Caenorhabditis elegans: one gene and its partners. The protein of the gene in region 3 interacts with the protein of the main gene of each other region in a pairwise test. Each region holds a gene or a part of one and is shown on either strand. Other genes may lie near its edges.

What was found.
Region 1: the proteins of rsa-1 (region 3) and paa-1 interact in a two-hybrid assay, tested with the Caenorhabditis elegans proteins (one study listed by BioGRID).
Region 2: the proteins of rsa-1 (region 3) and let-92 interact in a two-hybrid assay, tested with the Caenorhabditis elegans proteins (one study listed by BioGRID).

Annotation. Positions count from the first base shown.
Region 1 is NC_003281.10:5,446,191-5,456,667, forward strand, and holds paa-1 (putative serine/threonine-protein phosphatase PP2A regulatory subunit), read left to right. Parts: upstream 1-4,539; 5' UTR 4,540-4,550; coding exon 4,551-5,059; intron 5,060-5,110; coding exon 5,111-5,970; intron 5,971-6,017; coding exon 6,018-6,235; intron 6,236-6,288; coding exon 6,289-6,368; intron 6,369-6,412; coding exon 6,413-6,504; intron 6,505-6,558; coding exon 6,559-6,572; 3' UTR 6,573-6,947; downstream 6,948-10,477. Other genes in the region: disl-2 (DIS3-like exonuclease 2), read left to right, coding at 1-103; skpt-1 (F-box domain-containing protein), read right to left, coding at 446-641, 692-854, 905-1,038, 1,148-1,434, 1,478-1,802, 1,850-1,931, 1,975-2,053; F48E8.8 (Hsp20/alpha crystallin family protein), read right to left, coding at 2,648-2,775, 2,823-3,008, 3,164-3,284, 3,330-3,446, 3,542-3,622; F48E8.4 (MRH domain-containing protein), read left to right, coding at 7,416-7,709, 7,976-8,129, 8,182-8,354, 8,795-9,197, 9,397-9,486, 9,536-9,642, 9,692-9,777. UniProt on the Caenorhabditis elegans protein: Acts as a scaffolding protein for phosphatase let-92 and its regulatory subunits.
Region 2 is NC_003282.8:11,856,678-11,866,859, reverse strand, and holds let-92 (Serine/threonine-protein phosphatase 2A catalytic subunit), read right to left. Parts: upstream 8,419-10,182; 5' UTR 8,415-8,418; coding exon 8,286-8,414; intron 8,240-8,285; coding exon 8,030-8,239; intron 7,976-8,029; coding exon 7,913-7,975; intron 7,868-7,912; coding exon 7,679-7,867; intron 7,575-7,678; coding exon 7,401-7,574; intron 7,348-7,400; coding exon 7,156-7,347; 3' UTR 6,400-7,155; downstream 1-6,399. Other genes in the region: trpa-1 (Transient receptor potential cation channel subfamily A member 1 homolog), read right to left, coding at 1-819, 1,380-1,791, 2,232-2,313; mob-1 (Mob1/phocein), read right to left, coding at 4,449-4,779, 5,717-5,843, 6,179-6,302.
Region 3 is NC_003279.8:10,181,291-10,191,340, reverse strand, and holds rsa-1 (Serine/threonine-protein phosphatase 2A regulatory subunit rsa-1), read right to left. Parts: upstream 5,486-10,050; 5' UTR 5,464-5,485; coding exon 5,364-5,463; intron 5,315-5,363; coding exon 5,145-5,314; intron 5,098-5,144; coding exon 4,986-5,097; intron 4,939-4,985; coding exon 4,850-4,938; intron 4,799-4,849; coding exon 4,572-4,798; intron 4,525-4,571; coding exon 4,423-4,524; intron 4,380-4,422; coding exon 4,262-4,379; intron 4,208-4,261; coding exon 4,124-4,207; intron 4,082-4,123; coding exon 3,869-4,081; 3' UTR 3,791-3,868; downstream 1-3,790. Other genes in the region: Nucleolar protein dao-5, read left to right, coding at 461-574, 623-784, 833-1,159, 1,209-3,362, 3,411-3,569; clec-87 (C-type lectin domain-containing protein 87), read left to right, coding at 5,895-6,045, 6,096-6,462, 6,512-6,695; iars-2 (isoleucine--tRNA ligase), read right to left, coding at 7,409-7,642, 7,693-7,927, 7,976-8,052, 8,102-9,295, 9,733-9,973, 10,022-10,050. UniProt on the Caenorhabditis elegans protein: Regulatory subunit of phosphatase let-92 which recruits let-92/paa-1 complex to the centrosomes, thereby regulating microtubule outgrowth from centrosomes and mitotic spindle assembly ensuring the stability of kinetochore microtubules.

The DNA of each region.
Region 1 (10,477 bases), on a different chromosome or scaffold from region 3:
TGAAGTCAGCGCGACAATTGTTCGTCCGAGTCTCGAGCAACGTAATATTCTCAAGTCGACTCTCAAGGACATGAAAGAAACGGGCTCAACAATTCTTCAGTAGTCATTCGGATTCAGTGATCTCCTCCAGCAAAAGCTTTTTTTCCTTTTTCAATCCTTTTTTCCCCTTTTTCTATCCTTTTTTTCCCTTTTTCTATCCTTTTTTTTCTCCTTTATCCTTTTTTTCTTTAAATTCCATTTTCCCGTTGTATTTTTTAAAACGCGTGTCCATTCCTCGTCCCGGTTACTTTTGGTGTCGAATGAAAATGCATTATTCAATATTACTAGCGAAACTTTTATTTGACAAGTTTTGGGTGTTAACTGTCACGTAACTCGTTAAGAAAATTAGAAACTAGAGAAATATAGGACAATTGAGAAGTGCAGTTAAAATAATATGTATTGTTATCTATTCGATATCCATCATTGTCTGTCCCCAGATCATATTCGACTCGCATTGGTAGCTGACCGGTTTGGCGGTGAAGTTGAAGTACTGACGGTTGACCTTCAGATTGGAGCACATTTCGAGGAAAAGCTCCATGTTCGTGTCAGAGACGCAGCCATGAACGTTGAGATAAACGAGCGAAGGCTTACTGTTGAAGTGTCTGGAAATGTTTTGTTTAAATAAATTAAACTAATTTTCAAATAAACTCACACAACCATATTAGGGTCCAATCCGTAGCATCGATTGAGAGAAATTGTCGTAAGTCTCGGGAATTTGTTCAGAATCACTGCGAGGCCTGGATCACTAATCTCGACGTTATCCGACAAGTCGAGGTCGGTGACGTAGTTGGATTTTGCGGCGAGAATCTCAATATCTGGAATTTTTTACAGAAAATTAGAAGATTCTGACAACAGAGCCGCTCACGTTTATTGTTGATGCCGAAGTTTCGAACTGTTCCCGAGAGATTCAACTTTTTGAGCTTCTCGCCAATGGAATGAATGATTACGGTCACAATTGGCTGTGTTAATCCACACCACGCCAGATTCAGTTGTTGCAGGCTGAAAAAAATATTACGAAGGTGCACGGGAACAAGAAATATGTTACAGAAATTATTTAAAGATACACGTGGCAAGAACACTTTCAGGAAAGTTTTAAAAAATCCCTCACTCTTTGCAATTTCTGAAGATCAAACTGGCTCCATTTGCCGTGATTCCGTTGGTCATCGAGATGTCGAGCTCGCGGAGCCCGCGATTCTCTGCAATGCATATTGCCACGTGGTCATCCAATTGATTTCCTTCAATTGACAAGCATTTGAGCTTCTGGCATGGTTTCAACATAATCTGCATTTGGCGGGCAGTGAGATTAGTGCGAGAGAGATCGAGAAGCTCCAAGCGGGAGGTGCTCAGCAGTGCAACTTCGACGAGCCGTTCATCGGCACGAAGGATTCGATCGGCCTGGAAACAGTTAGTTTTATAGGAAATAAAATAAAATTCTCACTTTAGCTCCTGCCAGACGAAGAACTTTGATTTTTCGTTGTGACAACGCAATCAGTGAAATTTCGGAAATAGGACGATCCTGGGCGTCGGTGATAATCCAATTTCTCGATTTGTGTCCGATTCCGTAAAAACGATGACAGACGAGCATCGCCGAGAGAAGATCCTTCTTTTTCAAATTGGAAAAGATTTGTTCAGTGATCTCATCGGGAATACTGTACTTTTTGAACGGATTCTGAATACTGCGTGCGTCTTTTCGCTTGATCGGAGCGATTTCATCTTCTACGAGATTTTTGCAATTCAGATTTATCGACTTTAGCTTTTCGGAGCTGAAATGTCGTAAAATTAAGAAAATTAAGAGATAATTGCAGCTTACTTTCCGGAAACTGAAAGCCTGAGGCTTTTCTTTGGATAGAGGTTGTAGCATGGAAAGATGGAGATGGTCTCATCTGAGAATACTTTGAAAAAGTCAATCATATTTGAATTTTGACACACAATTACCTGTCTCCACGCAATGCTCATTTTCAGAGGGTCCGTTATCTTCTAGAGTTGATGGAAGTCTTCCTATGACACGAGACATTTTGTTTGAGTAGATATGAGGTGTAGTATTTAGGTGGTAAATAAGGGAAAAAGCACTTTCTGCTTGAAATAAATTCAAAACAGGGCTGATTTGAATAAATATGAACTCGCGGGCGCGGTAATCTTTTTTAGGTTGGCGCGAGTTTTTGCAATGCAAACGCGCTCCACCGCAAATCTGAATTTTCGAACATTTTTCGCCAATTTTTATCCTTATTTTTTTATTTTTTGCAATATTTCGCTATTTTTATTTGTTTCTCCCACCAAAAGCGCACATTTTTAAATCAAAATACGATTAAATAAAAGTAATATAACTTTTTAAATAAGTCCAAATAACCTTTAAGCAAAGTAAGGGTCGAATCTGAAACTATTTCTTGAAAACAACTTTTTTGTCTCATTCATCGAAGATTGGTTGTATTCGGAAGTGAGAGGTTGACAAGTTTTTTAAAATCCATTTTATTAATTATTCCGAAATACACATTTAGTTCCAATAGTTTCGAAATTTAAAACGTTTGAGTCATCCTTCATTTTTTCTGCCTAGTTGCTGTGATCATTTGGAGAGAGTATAAGAATTTATTAATCATTTCGAAAAAAAAAATCATTTTTGAATATCCTGTATCATTCTATTAAACTTGAAGTTATTCGGCCGGTGTTGAACAATTTGCTCCTCATTGGCGATCATTTCGTTATTCTGATTTCTTCGATTATAACGGAAGGAGAGTGGATCTGAATTTACAGTAGATTTTAAATTGGTTTTTCTTGAATTTCCTCACCTAATTTTTGTAGTGGAACAGGCGCTATGTCCACCGGCTCTGCAATATTGTTCAAGCCGATCGAGCGATTTGCGTAGAGATTTATTTCATTAAAGATATAATCATCTGACAAATTATCTGGCACCCCTCGTTTTCTTTTAGAAGTTTCCTCGATAGGTTCGGTTACAATTACATCGGTTTGTTGAGCTGAAATAGGATCCAAATTATCAAATATCCTTCTCTATTCATGTTATAAATCTTGGTTGTAAGAACAGTTAACATAATTAGTAACAATTAGAAACCTGATGTGATTAAGATTCTATCACTGTTTTTAAATAGTAAAATAAATAATTTTGACATACGTATATTGATAACTTCTCCTCTTTGTAACGCCTCAATCAATGCATCCAAATCAAGATCTCCATCACCTTGAGCCTCACGCAGTGCTCTCTCCTTTCGAAGCCTTTCCTTCAGTCGTTTAATCTGTCATTAAGCCACTAGTATACACCTTGGAGAGCCACCACAAACCTGCTCGGCTCGTCGCCGTCTACTTTCCTTATCTATCTCCTCTTCACGCTTGCCGTCTGCCCATTTGTTGAAGCTGAATGTGTTGAACACATTCGCACCGTCTCCCATTGTACTGTTCTGTAAATATATAAACTGAGCTAATGAGAAGAATACGTACTAGAGCACCACGCTTTTGCGAAAAATGAGAACCAAAAGCTCGATTGTGCACTCACTTTTGCATATTTTATTAAAGCTTTTGACGTCCTTTTCTCTTTTGTTCGCCTGTTTGAAATTTTTGAAAACCAGGAAACCATGATGATTTTAAATGTTTAATGATGTTCTTCTAACAGCATGCCCACGCGTTTTGCCTGAAAATTCGAATCAAATTAATTTTCAGCCTTTTTATTGTTTAAATATCAGAAAAAAACTGGCTGTTCACTAATCACGTGATGCCTGTGTTTTCATCCTCCCTTCTACACTGAAAATATTCTATTTTAAGGACATTTTCAGTCATTTTCCGGCGCTGTTCCCTCTGTCGTCGCCACGTCCAGTACACCGAAACCGACGACAAATCGATGAGAGCTCTACGACCGCAGGCGCGATGGATTGTGCTATTGCAGTGAGAGAGAGATGGCCGTTCTCTGCTTCTCTGCGTATCACTGTCGCAGCTGTTTCTCTTCTTCTCCTTTCGCCGCTCTTTTTTTGCATGTTCGTCAGGTTCACTATAGCGATTTCTTAATATCGAAATTTCACGAGTTTCAGAGTTGATTTTCGAAAGATCAGTGAAAATATTGTCCACGTGGTAGAGTTTTTCACTGATTTCTCGAAAATTCCAATAGTTTCTTTAAAAATCACACTCTTCTTCTTTGAACAATTCCATTTCATTGATTTTCTATATTTTCGTACAGAAATAATAATGTTTCAACAAAAATATGTTTTCTAGCACTGAACATTCTTAAATTTGAATTTAATTTTCTTAATATCAGATATTCAAAGATGACTATTCGTAGATTCTGCAAGTTCTTTCAAAATACTCAATTTTTCTATTTTCTCTCCAATTTATTTCTCCAAAAACCACCCGGTAATCAATATTTCAACACATTGCTGTGTTATCTTCACTGCGTCTCCTCTCTCTCTCTTGTTCTCCTCATGCCCGATGATAATCCGTTTCTCTTCCCGTTCTTTCTCCTTTGAATAGCCGCGAGATTAATTTTCATAAAACAAATTTCAGCACTCTTCATCATGTCGGTTGTCGAAGAAGCCACTGACGACGCGCTCTACCCGATTGCCGTGCTCATTGACGAGCTGCGCAACGAAGATGTCACGTTGCGACTGAACAGCATTCGCAAACTCTCCACAATCGCTTTGGCGTTGGGTGTGGAGCGCACACGCAACGAGCTCATCCAATTTTTGACCGACACGATTTACGACGAAGATGAGGTTCTGCTTGTGCTCGCCGAGCAACTCGGAAATTTCACTCCATTGGTCGGTGGTCCAGATCATGTTCATTGTCTTCTCCTTCCACTTGAGAACTTGGCCACAGTCGAGGAGACCGTGGTCCGTGACAAAGCCGTTGAGAGTCTCCGCAAAATCGCCGACAAGCACAGCTCGGCCTCATTGGAGGAGCATTTCGTGCCGATGCTCAGACGTTTGGCCACTGGAGACTGGTTCACATCCCGTACCTCGGCTTGTGGGCTTTTCTCTGTTGTTTATCCACGTGTCAGTCCAGCTATCAAGTCGGAATTGAAGAGGTGAGAATTAAGAAAAGAATAACTAAAGCAATCTAAATTAATTATTTTCAGCATGTTCCGAACCCTGTGCCGTGATGACACCCCAATGGTTCGCCGTGCTGCTGCTGCAAAGCTCGGAGAGTTCGCAAAGGTGTTTGAGAAGACTGCCGTCATCGAGGGTCTCCACTCCAGTCTCACTGATCTTCATGTTGATGAGCAAGATTCTGTTCGTTTGCTCACTGTCGAGTCAGCCATCGCTTTCGGAACTCTCCTCGATAAGGCTAACAAGAAGAAACTCATCGAGCCAATTCTCATTGAATTGTTCGATGACAAGTCGTGGAGAGTTCGTTATATGGTTGCCGAGAAGCTTATCGAGATTCAGAATGTCCTCGGTGAGGATATGGATACCACACATCTCGTTAACATGTACACGAACCTTCTCAAGGATCCAGAGGGTGAGGTTAGATGTGCTGCCACTCAGAGACTTCAGGAATTCGCTCTCAACTTGCCAGAGGACAAGCGTCAGAACATTATCTGCAACTCACTGCTCAACGTTGCCAAGGAATTGGTTACTGATGGGAATCAGCTCGTCAAGTCGGAACTCGCCGGTGTCATCATGGGACTTGCTCCACTGATTGGCAAGGAACAAACTGTCTCTGAGCTTCTCCCAATCTACATGCAGTTGCTTAACGATCAAACCCCAGAAGTTCGCCTCAATATTATTTCCAGTCTTGATAAGGTCAATGAAGTGATCGGAGCAGCTCAATTGTCCACATCCCTCTTGCCAGCCATCGTTGGATTGGCCGAGGATGGAAAATGGAGAGTTCGACTCGCAATTGTTCAATTCATGCCACTTCTTGCTTCCCAGTTGGGACAAGAATTCTTCGATGAGAAGTTGCTTCCGCTTTGTTTGAACTGGCTTACCGACCATGGTAACTTGATTTTTTCTTAAAAATGTTTTTAATTTAATTTTTTCCAGTGTTCTCAATCCGCGAGGCATCGACCCTCATCATGAAGGAACTGACACAGAAGTTTGGAGGACAATGGGCTAGCACGAATATTGTACCAAAAATGCAGAAACTTCAGAAGGACACCAACTACCTGCAGAGAATGACATGCTTGTTCTGTTTGAATACACTCAGTGAGGCGATGACTCAGGAGCAGATTCTGAAGGAGATTATGCCAATTGTGAAAGATGTAGGGAAATTTTACTTTTTTATTTAAAGAAATCGTAATTTTTCTAATTTCAGCTTGTCGAGGATGACGTGCCGAATGTCAGATTCAACGCCGCAAAGAGTTTGAAGCGAATTGGAAAGAACTTGACCCCAAGGTGACAGGAAAATCTTTTTCACTATCCCAATTTTCTATTTTCAGTACATTGACGTCCGAGGTGAAGCCACTGCTCGAGAAGCTCGGAAAAGATTCAGACTTTGACGTTCGATACTTTTCAGAGGAAGCCAAGAACTGTAAGTTTCAGTTGTCTTAAAATTTAGAGTGAATTTGAAATTGAACATTTTCAGCACTCGGCTTGTAATCGAACATATCGCTAGTCAAATTGGAATCTCTACATCTTCCACTTCTCAATCGTCTTATTTTTCCATTTTTGTTCCCGAGCACGCGAATAATCTCTATCTCTCCTCATTCATTTGTAAATGTTTAGCCCTCGAGACAAAACTCTGTATTGTAATAGTTCTAACCACCGTCCCTCCCACAACAAAACAATACAAATTATAATCGTTAAATTATGCGACCTCTCTTTATGATTATTTTCATTTTCCTCCCACTTCTATCCCGTATATTTCACCATCCTACTTCTTTCTGTTCTTTTTCCACCACACACAATCACCACTTTTTCCATTGCGACCCATTCATTCATTTATTTTTTTTGCAGAATAAAAGGTCATCGTCTATTATGAGAAAAAAGGTCTCAGGTTAGGTTAGATCAGTGTGGTTGAAATCTCTGAAAATATTTGGAATAATGGTGTTATCCGGCGTATGCCACGTCGCAGAAGCTTTTGAGCAGAGAATCTCGGTGCTTTTGCAACGTGGATTAAATATTGCTCAAGTTGCAAGCGTTGTGAAACGTCTCATTCAAATAAAAAATTTACTTTTGCCATTTGGAACTTTGAAACCATCTTTTTGGCCGTTTGGCAAATCCAGCTGGCAAAGAGCGGGCATAAATTTATATTAAACGCGCAGTTTCCCGATTGATTGTCTCAGAAACTTCCAGTGCTCAGATTTTGCCACGTGGCTAGAAGTTTTCGTTGCCAAAATTATTTTTTCCAATTAAAAAACTGTTCGCATTTACTTTTCAATTTTTCAATTCAATCGGAGAATTGTTTACGTAGTTTCTCTTTGCAGGTGCTATGCCAAGACGATGATAATTTATTTCCTCCAACTATTCCTGCTGCCGTCCACGACCGCCACGGCAGGCGTATTTGACCTTGCAGAGTACCGACGGGTCTCTTATGACGCGAATATTGGCGAGAATTTTCTTTGGTTCGCCCCGGAATTGGATATTCGAAAAGTTACAGCCAGCAATATTGATGATCTCGAAAAGCGAATTGTTAATCGGATTCCCGATGACTCGACCGAGCAGAATTTGATGTTTGTGACGAGTAAAGGAGGGCAGAAGTTTGCATGTTCTTTGCCAGATGTGGAAGATGTTAAGGTACACATTTTTAGATTAAATATTGTGCTTTGTTGTAAAAATCGGCAAAAATTTGTAGCGTGTTGTTTACAGTTGACTTTAGGTGTTCTTTGTTTCATTACAGCGATAATATTAGTTCGAAAGTCACGTTTTCGAGTTTTTCGCTTAATTTTTTAAATTTTCACCATAATTTATAAACAATCAGTGAAAATACGCTAATAAGAGTTTTATTTCAGTATTCAGACATTAAAAACGCATAAACGGTCTCAAATATTGTCTGGTTTCAGAAAGACAAACCAAAAAGCAGCAAGAATCCGAAAATCTATGGAGACGCGCTCGCCGCAAGCTTTTACGTGGACAAATGTGTGAAACTACGTGGTAATCACTGGTGGTCTTATATTCTGTGCCGTGGACAGACAATTGAGCAAGTGCACGGAGAACGTGAGTGTCAATAATAGGAAAATAAACCAATCAATATACATATATATTGCAGCTGGTCAGGAGGGATATGTAAAGAATATACTCGGATTGTTCGATGGAAGTCTCAAAATGCCATCCTATCAAGAATCAACGGATGATCGATTGCTTTTCGTCGAGGAAACGTACACGAGTGGGACTTTCTGTGATTTGGAGGAATACAGGGAGCCACGGATGACTTCTGTTCGGGTATTATATTAAAAAAAAAAGACATTTTACCGCTCTAACTACGGGATTGTTACTTTAAAACGATTTTTGAAAAAATGTATACAACATTTTTTACTTTAAAATACTAATTTAATTTTTGAGAGAAATATCAACATGGCTAAAAATCTTCATTTTTTTTGGAAAGTTCACTGATGTGTTCCATAGTTTTTTAGACAATTTTTAAAAAGCATAACGTACTGAAATTCCAAAAATAAAAGTTAAAATCTAGGCTAAATTGGCGAATAAAGTGTTTTTAAAGTAACAGGAAAATAAAATTATTATTTATAAAATTGTACTTCAAAAAAAAATCAATTTTAAACTTCAAAAACAGGGAAAAAACTACCAAACAACCTTTCAAACCTTGGTCCCTATTCAAAAACCACAAATTTCTCCTAAACAGCTAATACTTTCCAGTTTTTCAGTACGAATGTGACGCCCAACTGAGTACCAACGAGGTATACATCTCTTCAGTTGTCGAAGTGAAACCATGTCAGTACTTGATGATTGTAAAAGTTGGAACCCTCTGCAGATATCCGGAATTCTTGCCCGCAAGCCAGTCAAATACCAAGAAAATTGGATGTCAACCATTTTTGAGAAAAGAAGATGTTCGACAATTGTTAGAACGACAGCTTGAGGAGAAACAAAAGGCAGAAGAATCACAAAGAGTATTGACAGTGAAAAAGCGAAAATTCCAACGAGCTGCTGAGAGATTCAATGCAATGACCAAATCACAGAGAAATCTTCATATTCCTGACGTGGTGAAACGGATTAACGCGGAAATGGATTATCACGCAGCTCATTTTAACCTTCTGGTTGCAGGATTAGGTTAGAGTTTAAGAAAAAAAAGTGGCCGCGAAAATTGTTAGCTTCCAGAGGAAAAGTTAAATTTAAAATCTTGTCAAATAATATCCAATGAATGGAAATTCAGTTTTTTTTCAAAAAATATGTAATAATTTTCTCACTTTTTAAGAAAGAAATTAGTAAAAATACAGTGAAAATAATTAATTTTTTTGAATTTTAACAGAACTCGAAGGAAAACCAATCACACAAAAGAAGCGAGATTATATGTGGAAATTATTCAGCACGGCAGATATCAGTGACTACATTTTCTACTGTAACTCCCCCAGTTTTCAAAATTAAAAAATTAGTAACATATTTTTCAGCTGATTACGACACTGTAAACGACGAGAATCGCGGTCATCTATGGTACTATTTCCATGATCCATCATGGCCGAGAAATCAATTCCCAAAGGATATTATGGCCACTGCGGTTGGGAAATGTTGTGAATTTTCAAGTAAATTTCTAAATTCTATTGTAGGTTCAAAATGGATATCTCTCCGAGGTTCAGAAGAATTTGAAGGGAACTCAGTACAGATTTGGGGATAATGATGAACTTGTGGAAGGGTACGGTTTTCAGTGGAAGAGATTTTTTTAAAACTAGGCCTGGAAGAATTTTTTAACTCCACGTGTCGATTTACGAGCATTTGTTTTTTAATGAAAAAAAATTGTTTCAAATTGAAAAATGTATTCAGTATTATTAATTCATTTTTCTAGTTAAAATTTTTTTTAAACTGAATTTCATTGGTAAAGTAAAATTCTTGGCCTAGTTTCTTCTCCATCTCAAGCTACGTGGCCGCGAAAAGAAAAAACTCGGCCATATTTGAAATACCGTATTTCTTCTATTAATATGGCTGCAATACTATTTTTCGATGGTCTTCCCGCTTGCAATACTATTAGGGAGTGCAAGACTATTAGGGAGTGCAATACTAATTTTCAGAACATTTTTCTGACTTTGAGCTTACTAGTTTTTTCCTGAAAAAGCTCGAATCTTTATGTAAAAATTCAGAAAATTTGATTTTAATAACATATAAGTAACATATAAGTTCAAAAACTTCAATCTTGTAGAAATGTTGTGAAAAACTGTAGCAAAATAGGCAATTTTTTTTGTTGAAATCCTGAAATTAACGAGACGGGCCTGCAATAAAAAAGAGTAAACGCAAGACTATTAGGGAGTGCAAGACTAATAGGGAGTGCCATACTAATTTTCGGAAGGTCTCCGAGGGGCAATACTAATAGGGAGTGCAAGTCTAATAGGGAGGCCATA
Region 2 (10,182 bases), on a different chromosome or scaffold from region 3:
TTTTTTCTAAGGTGGTCCAAAATGTATTCAACAGAAGAAAGAGCATTGAACTTGGCTCCAATGAATACTGGGGTACGTTCATCTTTATCCGTGATTGTCAAGTTTGCTTTTTTTGCAATCAGGTACTCAACACACTTTTTACTATCATGAGTGACTGCCATCATCAAGGGAGTCAAGCCTTGTTCATCGACTACATCAATATTATCCTTTTCCTCTTCTATTAAATAGCTTACAACTTCCAATTGATTCATTTGAGCAGCAACGTGAAGTGGCACTGCTTTAACTTCATTCAGTTCATTCTTGTTTCCTCCAGCTTCCACTAATGCTTTTAAAACTTCTAAAAATCCCTTTTCAGCGGCAAAATGGATCAATTCCTTCTCCCTATCCATCCATTTACATGAATTTTTCTTTTCCATCTGCAGAATCTTTTTCAAAGTTTCCGGATGATTTCCTTCTACAGCCATTCTCAAAGGTGTCTTCTTTTCATTATTAAATAAATTTAATGCCTTGATTGCTTCAACTGGATCATGATCCATCATCATCTCTAAGTATTCCGGCTCACCCCGCAATGCAACAATATGAAATACTGTGTTGAGTCGTTGATCTCTTTTCGTAACATTACTATTTGCTTTAATAAGCTCTTGAATTATTTCTTGGCTTCCATGAACACAGGCTAATAGAAGAGGTGTCATTTTGTTATCATCTTCCGCATCCACATCTGCTTTCAGTTTTATGAGAGCGTGTAGAGCAGAAAAGTTGGATTTCATGGCTGCATAGTGAAGAGGAGTCAATTGGTACTTATTCACAGGATCGATTTCACTTAAATTTTAGCCGTTTTTTTTCAATAATATTTTTTAATTTAAAATTTCAAACATAAACTCCGATTCACATTCAGGAATCTTATTGGGTTTTTCTAGCAATCTAGAGATTGATTTTCATAAAAAAAGGTTTTGAATAAGGACATTAAATAAGCGGACTTATTTATGATTTTTGTCTATGAGAAAATGTCACTAGTATCCTAATTTTGAATTGATATTAGATTTTTTAAGGAAAAAATTCCGAACATAAAACTCGAAAATGAGAAGTGTTTGGTCCTAATTTTAAAATGTTAAAGATTTATTATAACTGCTCACAAAATATTGGATGAGGTTAGAAATGCTCCAAAATAATATAATAAGATGAGTACTTTTGCCAAATTTTGAGCTCAATTTTTGGAAAGGAAAATGTCCACAAAAAAACTTAAGCAGAGCATTGATATTTGTATTTAAAAATTTTAAATGTAAACTCCGCCACAAATTGGGTTTCCCCAGGAGTTCCATCTCATTTTTCAAATGAAATCAGATAATCATCAAAGTCACAAGTATAAAGTTGAAACTCACGCATTTTCAGAAACTAAGGCATTTATGATCTTCTTGGTTGCAGTATTGTACTTTCTCGCGGAATCAGCTTGATCCTCATCTATAATTGAGCAAATATCACTGTATCCATAGATATACTTGGAAGCAATATGCAACGGAGTGTCGCCTTCTCGATTTTTTGTATTAGGTAGAGCATTTTTAGAAAGTAATAGTTTAACTGCATCATAGTTTCCGTATCTCGCTGCATAGTGAAGCGGTGTCATAAAATCACCATCTTGGGCGTTCACTGCCAATGGAGCTTTCAGCAGAGCTTCTTGAAGAGCGTTTACATTTCCTTCTCGAGCACTTTGATGGATTATTGAACGAAGATTGTCTGCTTCAGTGCGAGCATCTAGTTCAGCGACTCGAAAGATTGAAGCTTGACGACCATCTTCTGAATGATTTGTTTTTTTTTCATACATGAAAACTCTAGTTTTTGAATTGAAAATGTGTTGATTAGGACTCTAAATTGGCGAACTGATAACTGTTATCAGAGTGTTTTAAACCAAAAATAACACGAAAGTTCTTAAACTTCATTTGTGGAACTTTAGTATCTGAAAGAAAAACTCCGTATAAAATTGTTTACCTAACTATGTGCCAAATTACTTTTAGTACATGACGGAGAAATTCCAAAGTCTCGAAATCTATTTTTTCTGAAACAAGAACAAAAGCCAAATTTTAAAAATTTTCGTCTAGTTTTCGAGATGATTTTTACTTGAGTTGAGTTGAATGTTTTTAACCCAGCTCAGGCATAAGGTAGGCACGTAGACCTGAATGCGTTAATTAATACAAACAACATATTTTTCCATCAAAATGTGTATTCAGATTACTTACTCTCAGATCTGATTGTATCATCATTTGAAATCAATCCTTCCAATTCCAGCCGAACATCAAGCCCTAATGATTTCTTCGACATTTGATTTTATGTTTTCTGAAATTGAAATCAATTTTGAAACCCCTAAAGATCTTTAAAATGGGATAATCTTTTTTGAAAAAATCTAAATCTGGATAAAACACTAAAAATAAGATTTAAGAAGGAAATATACACAGGAAAAGAGAGCCGAGAGGTTGTTGCTGTCTGGTCGTTTCCGTAGTGACCGGAAAATTGGTGGAGTATGGAGGAAAAAGAAAGGCAATCAAAGATTCATATTGGGGAAGAAAAAGCAGAAGGTGGTACGGATAAGACTGGATTTGAAATTTGAAAAATAGGCCAAAGAACTTCTTAATCATGTTTTTTTTGGGGTTTGCGAAATTTAAATTTCGAAGATAGTTTACTTCAGAGTTCAACTCTTATCAATAGTTTTCAAGAATGATAACTTGCAACAATTAGGTGCGGAAGACCTTGTAATAGTTATTATTAGAATATTAGGTCATCCTGTAAATTATGAAAATAAATGAAAACTGACTTTTTAGCATATTTTAGCATATTTCTTAAATTTCAGCAAGTTAATAAGAAATAGGCAAATCTAAACTATGGAAACACGAAACACAGACATTCATGGCAAAGTTCTGAAAACAGGCAGTAGGCAGGTAGGCCTGTCTCGTCCGGCTACAGTCGTACCTGTCTAGGAAAGAAGTCATACACAAGAGAATAAGAAGGAGACGTAATATGACCGTTTCGTAGAATCTATATTTCAGAATTCACCTAGACTGCAACCACGCCCTAATGCAAACTTCCAAAACTACCAAATACGAAAATCAATGAAAAGAAAATAGGTGAAATCTGTACAAACGTGGAAGTATGCAAATAAATCCAAAACAGTCGAAAGGCAAAAATGTGAGTCACTCATTCTCTCCTCTCTTCTCTCACTCTGTTTCACCTTTCAATACAACAAATTGGTAAATAGAATGAATTTAGATGAGACCGTAGACGAAAAAGGAAAAGTGCGAATATAATATGTAACCCCTAGTATAGGACAAGTAAGCAAAAAGAAAAAAGGAATGTAAGTTCAAAGGTGGAATTGGTATGGTATGGAATCCAAAAAGAGACGAAATAAAAAGAATGCAGACGGGAAAAAGAGAAAGAGCAAACAGTGGCATTTGATCTTTAAGTGGTATTTTGTTCGAAAAACTATTTGATTTTGAAAAAAAAACTTCTTATTTCGATTCTATCGAGTAGGATCTACTATGGCGATCAATAAGTTCTTTTTCGCATTTTCTCAGTGTTCATAATTTTTCAAATATTTTCTATTACGGGAACAAACATCTATGAGAATGCGTACAGAATGCGTACAGGCAACATGTTTGACGCGCAAAATATCTCGTAGCGAAAACTACGGTAATTCTTTTAATGAACAGTAGTCACTTGAAGAGTTACTGTAGTTTTCGCTACAAGATATTTTGCGCGTCAAGTATGTTGCACAATACGCATTTTCAGAATTTGGTGTTTTCGTGATACAAAATATAATAAATAGAAATATAAATTTTGAAATCTCGCTAATTATTTTGGGGTTTCTGCAGAATTGTGGCTAATGTTTTCAACTTTATCCAAGAAAAATTATTCGTATTTAGTTGTATCCACTTTCAGAAAAAAAATGTTTTTTTGGAAAGTTTTGGTTTCTTCTGAAAGGGACTTTTACATAGATAGTTGAAAAGGATGAAAACTGAGAAAACACGGAAAACTTATTGCTCACCCTATTACAAGTGGACAAACAATAAATATTCTTTGAAATCCTTTTGCTGGAAAATGTTCTAACTTATTTGAGAAAGTACTCAAACTAAAAACCTTATCTACATGTAGCCGAAAAGTTTTTTTTTTTGATAATTTGAAAGACCGGATAACAATTAATTTAATGAACATCTCTCAACAATTCGTCACACAAAAAGAAAAGAAACTAGAGAATTTTTGAAGTTTTCCCAAACTGATACCATATCATGAACGTCAGAAGCTTATGATTTATAATCCAGTCTTTTTGTGTATTAATCCTAAAAGCACCTATTTTAAACTCATAAACACGTATAGTTCAAAATTTAAAGCAAATTTATTAGAGTTTTACACATCTGAGGAGAAGGGGAATCACAGAATTGGGAATATTATTAACAACAGATTATTTAGCTAAACGATATGAGATTCTCGATGATTTCCCGTAATGGTTCAGTTTCTTCCTTGTTGAGAAGTTGGAATTGATTGGCGAATAGAACGAACTGTTTGAACGATGTGTTCAGGTGTGCCAAGGCCTTGATAGCTTTGAAGTGATTGACATGGGCAAAATAGACGTGAGCATAGATTCTGAACAGTCTCCTCATAATTGCTTGACAACGTTCCTCAAAGTCCGTGGGGAATTGTTTTCCGATTTCCGATGGGAACACGTTTTCGTCGTCGACATTGTTTTGGCATGCAGTGAGCGATAGATCAATGTATTGAGGAGCACTTGTGTTCAGTCTGAGATAGATTTTTTTTTTTTGGAACATGAAGATTAATGTGAGAATGGTTTTTTTGCGTTTTTACGAAAACAAAATTAATTTTCCTTCTTTTTTAAAGATGGAGTAGTGCACTAGTGAACGTGGTTTTTTTTCTCTTAATGACAAAAAATGTTTTTCCAGAATTTTTACAGATTTTCCAATTTTGTAACAAAAAAAAAATTAGAAAGGCATGTGTTTAGTTTTCGAGTTTCAACATTTCGGTGTTTCCCAGAAAACAATTAATTGGTTTTTTCTTCATTTTTCAATTTAAATTTTTTTCTGCTTGTGAGGAAAACTGTGACAAACCATGTTAAAAACAATCCAAAAATAAAGAAAAGCCGAATTAATATAGTCAGAAAGCACAAAAACGAAATTTGAACGGGAATTATAAAGTAATTCGGCTCTTTATTATGGGAGCACAAAATTTTGAGAATGCGTATTGCGCAACATATTTGACGCGCAAAATATCTCGTAGCGAAAACTACAGTAATTCTATAGATAACTACTGTAGCGCATGTGTCGATTTACGGGCTCGATTGTTGAAATAAATTTTTTTGTCCTCGTTTCTTCGTATTATTTTCTCATTTTTGTATAATTTTAATATTCTATCGATAACTAAATTCTTTATTTCGAAAATCACAGGCGCTACAGTAGTCATTCAAAGAATTACTGTAGTTTTCGCTACGAGATATTTTGCGCGTCAAATATGTTGCTTCAAAGTCATAGAATTTGAGAAAAAGTGCACTATATATATTTTTTGCTGCAAAATTGAAAAAAAAAACCGAGCAAATTTTAAACAATTATATACGTTTTACAGTTAGATTATGTATACTGAAACGGTTTTCTGCAATTTTAAGAATTTTCAAAATATTGAATTTTGATAACCAAGAATTACGGAAAAACTTAGAAAAGCTTACAATGTTCCTTCACTGGTCCAAGTATATTGTCTTCCATGTGCTGTCATCGATGGACACTTTGAATCGGTACATTCGGATTCGCAGAGAACTCCGAAAACCATTCGAACTTGATTTACCAGATCGATTACTGAAAAAATGCGCTTTTTTTTTGGAATTTTTCAAAAATAAAATTAAAAAAGAAAACTTATAGAAACTGTATGTTTCCGCTTTTTTAAAGGGAGAACCAAAATTGAGAAATAGTCTCGCCGCGCGTCAGTGTTTATTTGTTTTCGTGTACGCGCCTTTAAGATTACTGTAGGAAATTTATCCAATTTTTTGTATTTTTTGAGAAAATTGGATCAACTCGAAAAAAATCACAATTAGCAGTTTTTGTTTTATTATAAATTATTTTTTGTTTTATTACAAATTATTATTACCAAGCTGTGCAAAAAAATGTCAAAGTTTTTTTTAGCAAAAACTTACTATTTACGGCGAGCCATTCATTTTTATCTTCCCCTGGTGGAAGTTTCAGAGCGTCACGAAGATTTCCACTTCCTAACGTTGAAACTGCCATTGGATTGCACCATGATGAACTTGGTTCACTCATTTTCTGGAACCAAAATAATTCGATTTAAAGTTTTTTCTTTCACCAAGACAAGTATTGTTTTATGCTTTCTACATTGCAATCGAAAATTCAAAACTTTGATGTGGACACAGTTTATTGATCATTGATGATAAACAAAATGTTGATGGGGCAAAAATAATATTATAATTAAACAAAATGGGGGAATAAAATAGTGGAAAAGGGAGAGATGTTGTCCATTCGCATTTTGTGATAATAATCATAAGAAACAAGGAAGACGGGAAGTGGTGAAAAGGATGGGATGGAGGGGAAAATAGTGTAAGAATATGGAAGGAAAAGAAAAAGAGTAAAGAAATGTTGGAAGCGAACGCCGTACAGCGCGTGCGCGGAGAAGATCGCAACTTTTCTCACACGGGGATGACTGAAAAGAATATTGATTGCTTCATTGAGTGAAGGAAGAGAACCGAGTGCTAAGGTTGACACGAGATGTCGGAGATATTTTTTCAGTAATGGCTAATGATTCCGCCAAACTCTTCCCACCACATTAATTTACATGAACAATGAAATTTTCATCCCTATCATCGCATCATTTGAGAAGAGAAGCACGGTTTGATCGCCTAAATTTTGGTAGAGGACAAGAGAATGGAACAAAAAAGATAGATGAAGAACACAACAATCATTTCGAGCAACTTCAGAAGAGATGGGATTGTCAAATAGGATGGTGTTGGGCAACGATACAAAAACAACGATATTCTATATAATGACTGAAACGATGAAAAAGAGGAAAAGTGAGAGAAAGTATTGAAATTAATTGGGTAAGGGGGATAATACGGAAAAAAAAGAAAATGAAAACGGCGATTTGAACGGAGGTATCTATCTACAGGAAGTAGTCAGGCGTTCTGCGAGTAACATGTGGTTCTCCTCTTCGAGGGGCAGGGTCGAATTGCAAGAACGAATATTTGAGATCGTCGTCCAGCTCCACCATCGCTGCCTGATTTCCACAACGATAGCAGTAGTTTGGTGCTGAGAACACTGTTACCACGTTACGATCGTGACTCCAGTTGTATCCCTAAACATATTTATATCATTGCAAAATTATATCGATTTGAAATAATTTCTCACCTCCATGACAAGTTGATGGGCCCGAGAAATTAGAGTAAGTCCATTGGAATGGTTGAACGTCTCCGAGATATCCTGACCGAATGTGTATCCTGCTCCACGTGGAGAGATTCCCCAGCCACCTCTGTCATCTGGATCAGACCAGAGAAGATCGCACATTGGTCCTTCGTGTGGAACCTTTAAAAATATATGATTTTCGGTGATGAAAATGTTAGAACTTTTCTATTATTGAAATATTTCAGGCTAGTAACTATTAAAGGTAGATTTCCACAATAACTTACCTCTTGAATGCGGTCAAGAGCTCTGATGTGATCAAGAGTATCAATAGACGGTGAAAGACCTCCGTGAAGGCAGAAGATTTGACCATCAACAAGAGCGGTAAGTGGGAAACAGTCGAAGAGATCAGTGAAGTACTTCCACACATTCGAGTTTCCATATTTCCTCAAACACTCGTCATAGAACCCGTAGACCTAACAAGAAAATAATAATTTTTGAAATAAATTGATTTTAATTACCTGAGTGATTTGTCGCGACTCGTGATTTCCGCGGAGCAGTGTTACTCGATCCTTGTATCGAATCTGAATTTTTAAAGATGTTATAATAATTTCCATACTATATTGTGATAACTGTACCTTCAAACAGACAAGCAGACTAACTGTTTCGACGGAATAATACCCCCGGTCGACGTAGTCTCCCATGAAAAGGTAATTCGTGTCAGGACTCTTTCCACCCATTTTGAACAGCTCCATCAGATCGTGGAATTGACCGTGAACGTCACCACACACTGTCACAGGGCACCGGACTTCTTGCACATTCGGCTCTTTTTCCAAGATCTCTTTCGCCTTAAAAAAATTAATTTTTGACAATCACAAAACTGTATCAACAAACCTTTTCGCATAACGTTTTGACTTGATTCTCCGATAGTGGTTTACATTCGTATAACTGCTCAATCCACTGATCTACATCGACGATTAGTGCTTTATCAAGCGGATCCGCAGATGGTGGGGCAGCAGCCATACTACTGAAAACTTATTTGTTGGTCAAGAAATTAGAAGTATAAAAAAGTTTGAATGATAAGAACGCATAGAGAAAGAAGAAAGACAACGTGGGCAGCTATAGCAACGGAGCACGAGTCGGAGAAAGCGTGAAGAGCAGAAACTCACGCTGTTGCCTCACAGTCAATACTTTTCAGCGGATTCTTCTTTCCGTATAAACTGATAGGATTGCAAGACAAAAGGGATTAAGTGCCCCTTGCTCCAACAGCATCTTATAACGAAAAAGAAAACGTCACAATTGGAGGAGAGACAGTTAATGAAATGATGTAAAGCACAAGTTTTAAAAAAGACGGAAAATCAATCGTGAACAGGTTAAGAAAAGAAAACAAGAACATAGAAATAAAATGTGTAGTTTTTATGGATTATTTTTCAATGTTACTAAATGCCAGACCGGATTAGTTACTAGTGTCAAAAAGTGTCCATTCTCAATTTTAGACGAAGAAGTGAAAGATGAACAACAATCACGCGCTGAAAAATATTCATAGGAAAAAGAGGAAATCGATAACTCGCTGTTTGCGTTTCTACCTCCCACCAAACCATACGGAATTTCATTCCGTTCCGATAAGGCAAAGAACAAATGTTGTTAATTATGTTTCACAATAGGGGTCAATCTATGTTCTAACGAGAATTAAAATATTTTAATTGTTAGGCAAACGTTGATACGGTAAAAAACCTAATTATGTAACTGAAACTCTTCAAATGAAAAAAAAAATCATAAAACTGTGTTTTTTTTGCCTTATTTTCGGTGAATCATAATCAATATTCAATGGGCAAAAGCCAATTGTAATGGGAACACGTGAGAACGGAATAAATGAATTTAACATTAGTGGAAGACATCAAAATGATAGAGAACGCGGGATGATCGAGTACGACAAAATTGTTGTTTTGTGAGGAGAGCGAGGCGGAGAAAGCAGGGCTGCAGAGAGATGCGGGGCCCGCCAATTGGGCAGTGACGGAGGATCAGACGACAGATAGCGAAGGAGCAGCGGCACTCCTGTGCTATAACCAGCCGAGGAACCAATCGCATTGCGAAAGTGACGGAGAAAGAGATGAAAAAGAAAAGATATAAGGCAGAGGAAAGAGCGACCGCATCGCAAGGGCTCGCGTCGCGGTTCACTGCGCTCTACTGAACACCCTCACTGTCTGTTGTTAACAAGACGGAGAGAAGTGAAGAAGTCCTCTTCCTGAACCGATGTTTTCGTTTATTGGCGTTATCGCTGAAGGCGACAACGACGACAGCAGAGGCGTTGTGTGCAGAAAGGAGGTGTGAAAAGGCGAGGATTTAGAGCTCTGGTGACGTGCTAGGGACGGCCAAGTTATGATAGAGGGGCGTACTGAAAAAAATGTTCGAGGTAGAATATTTCTAGAAAAATACATTTCATAACCCAGCAGAATCATGATGACTCATTTATGCGAAATTTCAGAAAAAACGGTATGTTTTAGAAGATGAAACTATCGATTGGCAACTAACGAAGGTTAATGATGTCCGATTTTTTAAATTATTATGTAACAAAATCATTGTTGAAAAAGACCGAAAACTTCAGACAGAAAAAAAAACTGGTGAGCTAATTATAATTCAAATTAAAAGTAGGAATACGATCTAGCGGAATGACAATAGTTTGTTACTAACGGCTCCAGTAACTGAATCTAGTAAACAATATGATTGAAACCGGAGATTTTCAGCATCAGGTGTTAAAGAATGACATCAAAAACATGCTAGATGATGAATT
Region 3 (10,050 bases):
TCTTACTTCTCCAGTCAGCCATAAATGTTTTAACAATCCGTCATTCTTATTAACTCACAGACCCTATTTACTCATTGATGAAGTACTTCCTTTCACCCAGGAGGTTTGTTGAATGAACAATTATTGAGTCATGTTGATAGTCCAAAGACAATCAACTTATTTTTTAAATTTTCGTTTTACAGAAAAGTCTGCATAATTCGAAAAAATCAAAGTAGAAAAACTCGTATTTGAATAACCGCCCCTTTTTCTTAAAGGCGCGCGTGGTTTGTCGAATGGTGGGTCCCGCCACGATTGTTATCTGCAACTTTTTTTTCGTAGTTCGATAGTTTTAAAGCCATTTTTTCTATTTTATCAATCTTTTTATCGATTTTTTAGAGAAAAATTGTAGTTTTTATTGCGCTAAATCAATATTCAATGTCTTATATACCATTTAAGTGTTTTTAGGGTACCCCTGATCGCTATGAGTTCCGACTTGTATGCGAATGCTGTTCTCTACAGCGAAATTTCACAAAGAAACCCGGAGTTGGTATCGAAAATGTTCAATGAAGCAACACGGAAAAAGTTGGATGCGTTTGTGAGTGTTATTTAGTCATTTATTGTAATTATAATGAACAAATTTCAGTTAAAAGACAATGAAGCGCCAAAGCTCAAAGACATCGTCACCGACAATGTATTCAAGAAGAGAAAGCGTATAGCTTCTTCTTCCGGAAACGAGCCACCTGTTAAAAAAATGGCAGCAAAGGACTCGTCTGACTCAGATTCTTCAGACGATGGAGCTGTGAAGGTAGTACAGATTTCTAAAAAAGTTTTAAAAATTAATCAAGAATTCCAGAAGAATGGTGTGCAAAAACCTGTCAATGTTGCGGCCAAAAAATCGGCGACTCCTGTTCAAAAGAAGGCTGAATCTAGCAGCAGTTCGGATAGTGATGCTCCTGCCAAGAAATTGACTCCAGTTAAGAAACCGGCCCAAACTCCTGCACAGAAGAAAGCTGCGTCAAGCTCTGATAGCGATAGCGATGATGAACCTCCGAAGAAAGCTCCAGCTGTTACAACCAAAGTTGCTCCAAAGCCAATGGCAAAGAAGCAGGATACCAGTGATTCCGACAGTGATAGCGAGGATAGCGACGATGGCAAAAGCAAGAAAGCAAATCCAGTAAAGGTACGAAATTCATCATACGAATATTTTAAAATATCAATTATTTTTACAGGTTACTCCAGTTGCGAATGTTCTCCAGAAAGTTGTTGCCAAGAAAGCCGCTTCTTCATCTTCCGATTCCTCTGACGACGAAAAGAAGCCAGCTGCCAAACCAACTCCAGCTAAACCTACTCCAAAGCCTGTTGTCAAGAAGGCCGAGTCCTCTTCGGATTCAAGCGATGACGAGAAGAAGCCAGTTGCCAAGCCAGCACCAGCTAAAGCAACTCCAAAGCCTGCTGCCAAGAAGGCCGATTCATCTTCTGATTCTTCTGATGATGAAGCTCCAGCGAAAAAGACTCCAGCTAAAGCTGCTCCAAAGCCTGTTGCCAAGAAGGCCGAGTCCTCTTCGGATTCAAGCGATGACGAGAAGAAGCCAGCTGCCAAGCCAACGCCGGCTAAAGCTACTCCAAAGCCTGTTGCAAAGAAGGCCGAATCCTCTTCGGATTCATCCGATGACGAGAAGAAACCAGTTGCCAAGCCAGCACCAGCTAAAGCTACTCCAAAGCCTGTTGCCAAGAAGGCCGAGTCCTCTTCGGATTCAAGCGATGACGAGAAGAAGCCAGCTGCCAAGCCAACGCCGGCTAAAGCTACTCCAAAGCCTGTTGCAAAGAAGGCCGAATCCTCTTCGGATTCATCCGATGACGAGAAGAAACCAGTTGCCAAGCCAACATCAGCTAAAGCAACTCCAAAGCCTGCTGCCAAGAAGGCCGATTCATCTTCTGATTCTTCTGATGATGAAGCTCCAGCGAAAAAGACTCCAGCTAAAGCTGCTCCAAAGCCTGCTTCCAAGAAGGCCGAATCCTCTTCGGATTCATCCGATGACGAGAAGCCAGCTGCCAAGTCAACACCGGCTAAGATCACTCCAAAGCCTACTGCCAAGAAGGTCGCCTCCTCATCTTCTGATTCCTCCGACGACGAGAAAAAACCAGCTGCCAAGCCAACTCCAGCCAACGCTACTCCAAAGCCTGTTGCCAAGAAGGCCGAGTCCTCTTCGGATTCAAGCGATGACGAGAAGAAACCAGTTGCCAAGCCAACATCAGCTAAAGCAACTCCAAAGCCTGCTGCCAAGAAGGCCGATTTATCTTCTGATTTTTCTGATGATGAAGCTCCAGCGAAAAAGACTCCAGCTAAAGCTGCTCCAAAGCCTGCTTCCAAGAAGGCCGAATCCTCTTCGGATTCATCCGATGACGAGAAGCCAGCTGCCAAGTCAACACCGGCTAAGACCACTCCAAAGCCTACTGCCAAGAAGGCCGCCTCCTCATCTTCTGATTCCTCCGACGACGAGAAGAAACCAGTTGCCAAGCCAACATCAGCTAAAGCAACTCCAAAGCCTGCTGCCAAGAAGGCCGATTCATCTTCTGATTCTTCTGATGATGAGGCTCCAGCGAAAAAGACTCCAGTTAAGCCAACTCCAGTCAAGATTGTAGCGAAGAAAGTTGATTCGTCTTCTGATTCATCCGATGATGAGAAGAAGCCTACAAAGGCAACTCCTGTCAAAGTCACCCCGAAGTCAGTTACAAAGAAAGCAGCAGCATCGTCTTCGGACTCATCCGATGATGAAAAGAAACCAGTGGTGAAACAAACTCCTAACGTTGTCCCGAAAAAAGAGAAAGCGGCTTCAAGTTCAGATGATTCTTCTGACGATGAAAAGAAGCCGACTGCCAAGCCAACACCAAAAGCTACTCCTAAGCAATCTGCCAAAAAAGCTGATTCATCCGATGATTCTTCTGATGACGAGGCACCGGCTAAGAAGACACCAGCCAAGTCAACACCTGCAAAAACCGCTGTGAAAAAAGAAGCCTCTTCATCGTCAGACGATTCTTCGGATGATGAGAAAACGAAAAAGAAGTCTGCCACCACACCAGCAAAATCAACTCCAAAGACTGCACTAAAGAAAGCTGAATCTTCTGATTCCTCTGATGACGACGAAGATCTTCCAAAACCATCTAAGGCTGTCACTCCAAGACCACAACGTGCTGACTCTGAAGAATCCGCCGAGACCGAGGAGAGCAGTTCAAGAACACCGGCTTTGAAGGCAAAACCATTGGCTACCTCGACTGAAAAGGCGGTCTATGAAAACCGAAAAAGAAAGTCTTCACCATTCCGACGCGTGCAAATGACAAAGGATAGCGTTTCTGAAAAATTTAGAAACAACCAGCATGATTCGGTAAACATATAGCGACTACGAACAAAGTTTAACTCGATTTATTTTCAGCACTTCGATCAATGGGGACAGCGTGCCAATGAAAGCCTAGGAAAAGTTGTTGGAAAAGCATTCCGTCATGAGAAAACTAAGAAGAAGAAGGGAAGCTACGGAGGTGGTCCAATCAACCAATCTATTAATTCTATCAAGTTCTCTGACTCTGACGATTAGTTTCTTAACTTTATCCTTAAGTTAATTTGTTTCCAAAATTGTTTCTCACCCCCGTCTACACTTCGTTTTTTATCTGTTGTCTGTTGCTTTCCTTTTTGTTTCCCCTTTAAATTTATAATCCTGAGTTGATCCAAAACAAATGTTTTGTATACTTTTGTTACTTCAAATATAACTTGTTATGTTTCCGTTTTTCTCCCTCTTGTCTCATCCATAAAATGTTTGGTCCAAAAGCTGTTTATTACCCTTGCAGGCCGAAATGAGTGGTTAGAATAGTTTTAAAAATAAAATTAGCGGGACTGCTATTGCTCGCGTCGTTCGTACTTCATGTAATCATCGGAATTGGAGAGGAATCCAGCAAACGTCGAGTTCATCCGATTAGCAAGAAACTCTTCCAATGTAATTCCATTCTGATTCAGACGCATCATATCTCTCAGTTCGGCAGTTGCTACTTCCGGGTTCACACTATTATCTTCCGGGACGTAATCTGGCAGGTTTTGAAGCTGAAATGATGACTTTTAAGCGATGAGAAAGTGTTCTTGGAGAGTTTTACTCACTATTGATCGAATTTCTTCCTCATCCAACAGTCCATCATCCTTTAGATCCAGAATTTCGAAATGGTATTTGGCGGAGGCAGTGGTCTGGAAATTTATTTTTTAGAACAATTTTTTGGTTCTGATTAAAAAATCGCTTACATGACGGAACTTTAGAGCGGTGACAAAATCAACGAACGCTTTGAAATCAATACGTCCATCTTCATAGGTTATTGAAATTTCGAAGATTCGCTTGGTGAAAACCTCATTGAAGATTCCGCTGAAAAATAGGATTTATAGACTGAAAAATAATTTCTTCATACTCTCTGAAAAATTTCAAGTCCGCTGGCGCCAACAATCCCTTTCGTTGGGAGTCAAGGAATCGGAATTCTGATAAAGTGGTTCGAAATTGAGCGACGGTGAATCTGAAAAAAGACTTTTTGAAGCAATTTATGGCACTGATAAATCATACACATCAATTTTCGGAGGTGATAAGCAATGATTCTCTGCATGAATACACTCTTCGAGTTGTAGTAGAAGTGTTGAAGCAAGTAAATCCTTCAAATATACACAGTCTCGCCGTCGAGCACCCAATAGGAAAAATATTGTTCCAACTGCGTAAGCTGTATAATAGACAGGATTTTCCGGTTCTTCAATCATAATTGGAATAAAATGTGTGGCCACAAAGTCTTGGAGACTCTGAAAATAGTGTCAGGATAATAGCTTTTAGAGTAGAAATAAGATACTTACATAACTGGAAATCTCTGTGCTATTTTCTGAAAATGGAAGAAGTTTGATGTAGGACTCCTCAGCGTGAATGACTGTTCGTACAAGCTCCTCTGAAATTCAAATTCTTTATAATAAGAACTCCCTGCTTTGCACAAACCTAAAAGAGTGATATCAATTGTTAAATTATAATTGGTTATTTTAACGAAATTCGACACTGTGTTATGTGGAAGTAGATCTTTGATTGATTGTGGTGAAGTTTTGAGTATTTTCTGAATAATTGCACATTCTTAATTATTGAATTCACCGAGAACCTTACCATTAATCGAGTTATCGTCACATATCTACTTTCTCCCCCTTCACCCCAATTTAAATCGATTTTGTTCGATCGAATGATGTTTAAAAAGCATTCGGCATTTTTTTTAAACTCCTCTACATCTATTCTTCGATTTTCGGCAAATATATCCATAACTCGATCATTAAATGTTCCTGAAAGATAATACCGCTGAATAATACATTTTCGCTGAACCCAACTCACGTTCGAAGTCACTCAATGCTTCGTTACTTTTCTTCAACATCAGGGATGTTGGAATCGTTGGTAAAATGGATTTTCGCTTCGAAGGTTCGTCGGTTGGCATAGTGACACGAAAATTGCAAGGGAGGAGAGAATTGAATTCGAATCTCGAGCGTTATTTTCTGTTGAAAATGGGCGCATTAAGTGCGCTCCACTGCATATTTTGTTAATATCAAGGGCGGCTATTCAAAATATAATTTTCAAAATTAATTACAATTTTTTAAAACAAGATCTTGCCCTTTTAAAAGTTAAATATTTTCATAAATGAAAATCTGCAGTGTGCTACAGAACATTTAAACCATCATCCGTGCTTCAAATTCATAACACCAGTTCAGAAATGAAGTTTAGGATATTTCTAGACTTGATTTGTTTTGAAATTATTATTTGATCTCTGTCTATTAGCGGCGCGCATTTGTGAAAATTTCAGGAAACGGCGGCAAAAATGTGCATAAAAGGAGAACGAAACGTTCATTTCCTCAGTCTTCACTGCTCATCATGCGTTTTTGCCTTCTCGTTGCTTTCATCCTTCCTGGGCTATTCCTCGTTCATGCAGCTCCGACTTCTTCAACCGAGCTTCCTGAAGCTAGTGGTGAAGCTCCAGAAACATCACCATTGGTTCAAAACGACGAACAGCCGCATCAACGACGTAAGTTTCTTTGAAATCTTTAAATTTTCGTTAAAAGTAACAAATTTCAGTGACGTTCTACAACTGGGACTACAAGGATCTCGGCACAACGGCATTCGAAGACATCTCGTTCCCAGCTCGACAGCCGCCAGCCTTCGTCAATCAGACTGAGAAGTGTCCCGATGGATGGCTTCGGTTCGCCGATTCGTGCTACTGGATCGAGAAGGAGCTTCTTGGATTCGCCAAGGCCGAGAGAAATTGCTTCGAGAAGCAGTCAACACTGTTCGTGGCCAATTCGATTGAAGAGTGGGACGCAATTCGTGTTCAAGCCAAGGAAGCCTTCTTTTCGTGGATCGGACTTGTCAGATTCACCCATTACGAGAAGTTGGAGCAGTTGCCAAGATGGCAGACTGAAGGAGCTCTCAATCCAACCAAAATGTAGGTTTTGTCAACAACAATTGATTGCTTCTAAATTTAATTTTTTCAGCAACTGGCTCATCAAACCATACAAGCCACTCTTCAACGGTTGGTCATCACTCGCCAATTGTGCTGCCAGCTACAAATCACCATCATCCCTGGAATCGGCATCATACACGTACTTCTACCCGTGCACGTATATGCTGTACTCCATTTGTGAACGCAATTCGACCATCGTCAACGCGTTGCAGTGAAGCCTTCTGTACTTCTGACACCAATCTAATCATGTAAACAATCATCCACAACTAATCGTTTATTATTTGTCACCGGGTTCCATCCCCCTTACGTTTGACAATCATTGCACTCACTTTATAAATTTTGAGACGTTATGTATTTATATCGGAAAATAAATTTTCAACATCAAATCCTGTTTTCTATCTGAGGACCTCTTTTGCTTGAAGCAAGTCGAGCATGACGTCAAGTTTTTCTTGCTAGAAGTTGGTGTTTCGGGAAATTGATGTGCAAACATAAATTAAGAGGCACCACGTTTTCAAGATCTGTTCAAAAACAAGATCTACGAAAACAAGATCCGCCAAAACAAGATCTACGTTTTCAGGATCTGGCACCGTGCCAACTGCGGTTTTCTCTACGCGTCGCGTGTTGCTAAGCGTAAATTCTAGAAGAAAATTTCAAAAAATATTCGTTTGAACGCTAAACAACACGCGACGCGTAACATCGGAGCATCGTTGTTTGGTTTTCTTCGAGAAAACCACAGTTGGCACGGTGCCAGATCTTGAAAACGTAGATCTTGTTTTGGTAGATCTTGAAAATGTAGATCTTGTTTTGGTGGATCTTGTTTTCGTAAATCTTGTTTTTGAACAGATCTTGAAAACGTGGCGCCTCTAAATTAAAACATTTACTTTCCTAAAATAAATCAAATTACAATGTTCTACAAAAATCATCTAATTTAACGAGAAAGTCCCATCGCATCTGAGCATCTTCCGCATAGAGCATCACTTTCATTCCGAGTGTGCTTCCGGCATCTCTCACAATATCGCAACCGGCTTTCCACGAGCTCAACAGAATTTTCATCCCGATTTTCATGCAGTATCACTTGTGAAACATTTAACAATTCTGGCAGCTCTGATTCGTAAATGCGAAGAATTGTGTGGTATTCTGGTGTCACTTGAAGAACAATTCCCTGTAAATAAATTCAATTGATCTGGTACTGTTTTTTTCTAGAAAACGTACTTTTTTAGAAGTATCAATCTTTGGACCAGCAGTTGACTCTAAAAGATTTCGAACTTCGTATACGAATTTCATGTGCTTTGAAAGCTGATCATGTGGAGTGAGAAGTCCATAATGAAGATCTTCAAATTTCAAGCGAAGAATTTGTTTTTCATGGGATCCGGGAAGGTGCTGGAGGACTTCTGATGATAAATGCGGAAGGATTGGAGATATGATATGAGCTAGATTGTGAGCAAGCCTGAAAAATAATGAATAAAAAGAGTTCTAAAAATCTTACTTGAAATACCTATGGAGAGTGAATTGAGCAGATATATGAGACTCGCTGCCAACTTTATCACAGTAGAGACGATCACGAACATATTTCTGAAATTTAAAATATCAAGATTCAGTACTCAATTTCTTTGAATCATACCACATAGTTTGCACTAAAATTTCTTTGCAAAAACTGTGTCAAATCATTTGCCACTGTACGGAATTTGAAGTCGTTGTAGTTAACAATGGATCTTTTGACAATCGCGTCACAATTTTGTAACATATCTATATCCAACGTCTTTAATGGAAACTTGACTTGTTTTCCATCAAATCCTTGACAGCCTCCAATCATGAAACGAAATCCATTTCGAAAAGCAATAACTTTTTTGTCCACATCGTCGATAATTTTCATTCCGATTTTTGATTCTCCAGCGTTCTCTGAACCGGATAAAGCCACCCAAAACCGGAGACCATCTGCTCCAATTGCTTTTTGCTTCAATGATCCATCCGTGAGCATTGTTGGATCAACAACATTACCGATAGATTTTGACATTTTATTATTGTTCTCATCAATACAAAATCCATGAACAATAATCTTTTTGTATGGAAGTTTATTTTGTACGGCTACAGATGTTAGAAGAAGTGATTGGAACCATCCTCTGAATTGATCAACACCTTCTAAGACTACATCAGCCACGTGTTCTCGTTCAGTGTCATTATCTCTAGCAGCATGCCAAGCAAGTCCAGAATCCAGCCATACATCCATGATATCCGTATTCTTCTTTAATTGAGAAACTATATCACTGGGAATTTCTAACGATCTTCGAACTTCTTCATTTTCCAATATTTCTTTTACATCAATCTCCCACCATACATCAGTATTTTCACGTTCTCGTGTCAATTTTGCTACCCATTCAATGAGTTTTCGAGATGTATAGGATCCACCGTTGTCATCAACTAATGCAGGAATCGGTGTTCCCCACACTCGTTGTCTTGAAATACACCAGCTTTTTCTAGTTGTCACCAGTTGTTTGAGTGATGCACGTAGATCCGAATCACCTGCGGCCACTGAAATGTCATCAAGCATCATAGAAGCGCGTTTTCCAATTTCATCCACATCGATAAACCATTGTTCACTGCTTCGAATGATCACTGGCTTCTTCGTTCTCCAGTCATAAGGATATGAATGAACATGCTTCGATACATGAACAATATCATGATTCAACAGCCGAAGAGCAATCTTTTGGCCTTCTCCCAGCACTTCTTTACCATCTAGATCATGACCAAGGTGTCTGGTATAACATCCACGAGAATCTACGAAACTTTCTACTCGGTCTCCTTTTGATATAGCAACCTGAAATAAAAGATAACATTTCAATAATAATAAATCATTTACTATAAATAAAGCGCTAATGTCTATCCCTATGTAGTTTGACCTTTGATCTCGAAGCAACTGGAAGTTCCCGGCCTTATGGTAAATATGCAGCCGACATTGATCGAGGTCCGCGATAGACACTGAATGTCTTCGGCCACGTGGAGTCAGACGGTCCCTTTTCGCTTTGATCTACGAAAAATGCGGGAGGTGAGACGTAGACATCTCAACTGATTTCGCATGGTTAACAGTGTGCTTACGTCACAAATTTTCTGGGAAAAAATTCCCGCATTTTTTGTAGATCAAACCGCAATGAGACTTTCTGACACCCCGTGTTCGGCGTCTCTCGAAAAAGTCGGGGGCCGCGCCGTAGGTGCGGTCCACGGCTGGTATATATATAATTTCCTTATTCCACCTACATCATAATCCTGGAATCCATGTGCAAATGCTGTGTGCACTAAGCCAGTTCCAACTGTATCCGTAACGTGTGGACCTTCGTATATTGGAAGACCAAGTTCATTGTGCCAACAGCTTTTGTATCGTCTTCCGATCAAATTCGCAGGTTTCACTGTTCCAACAACTTTACACTTTCGATCACTTGATTTTTGGAATTCTTCGAGCAATTTAGAAGCGATGACATAGAATGTGGAAGTTGGATTGCTGAAAGAACTTTATTTTATTCTAAATATAGGATTTCAATTCTCATACTTGATTTCATTATCAAATTGAATCAAGGA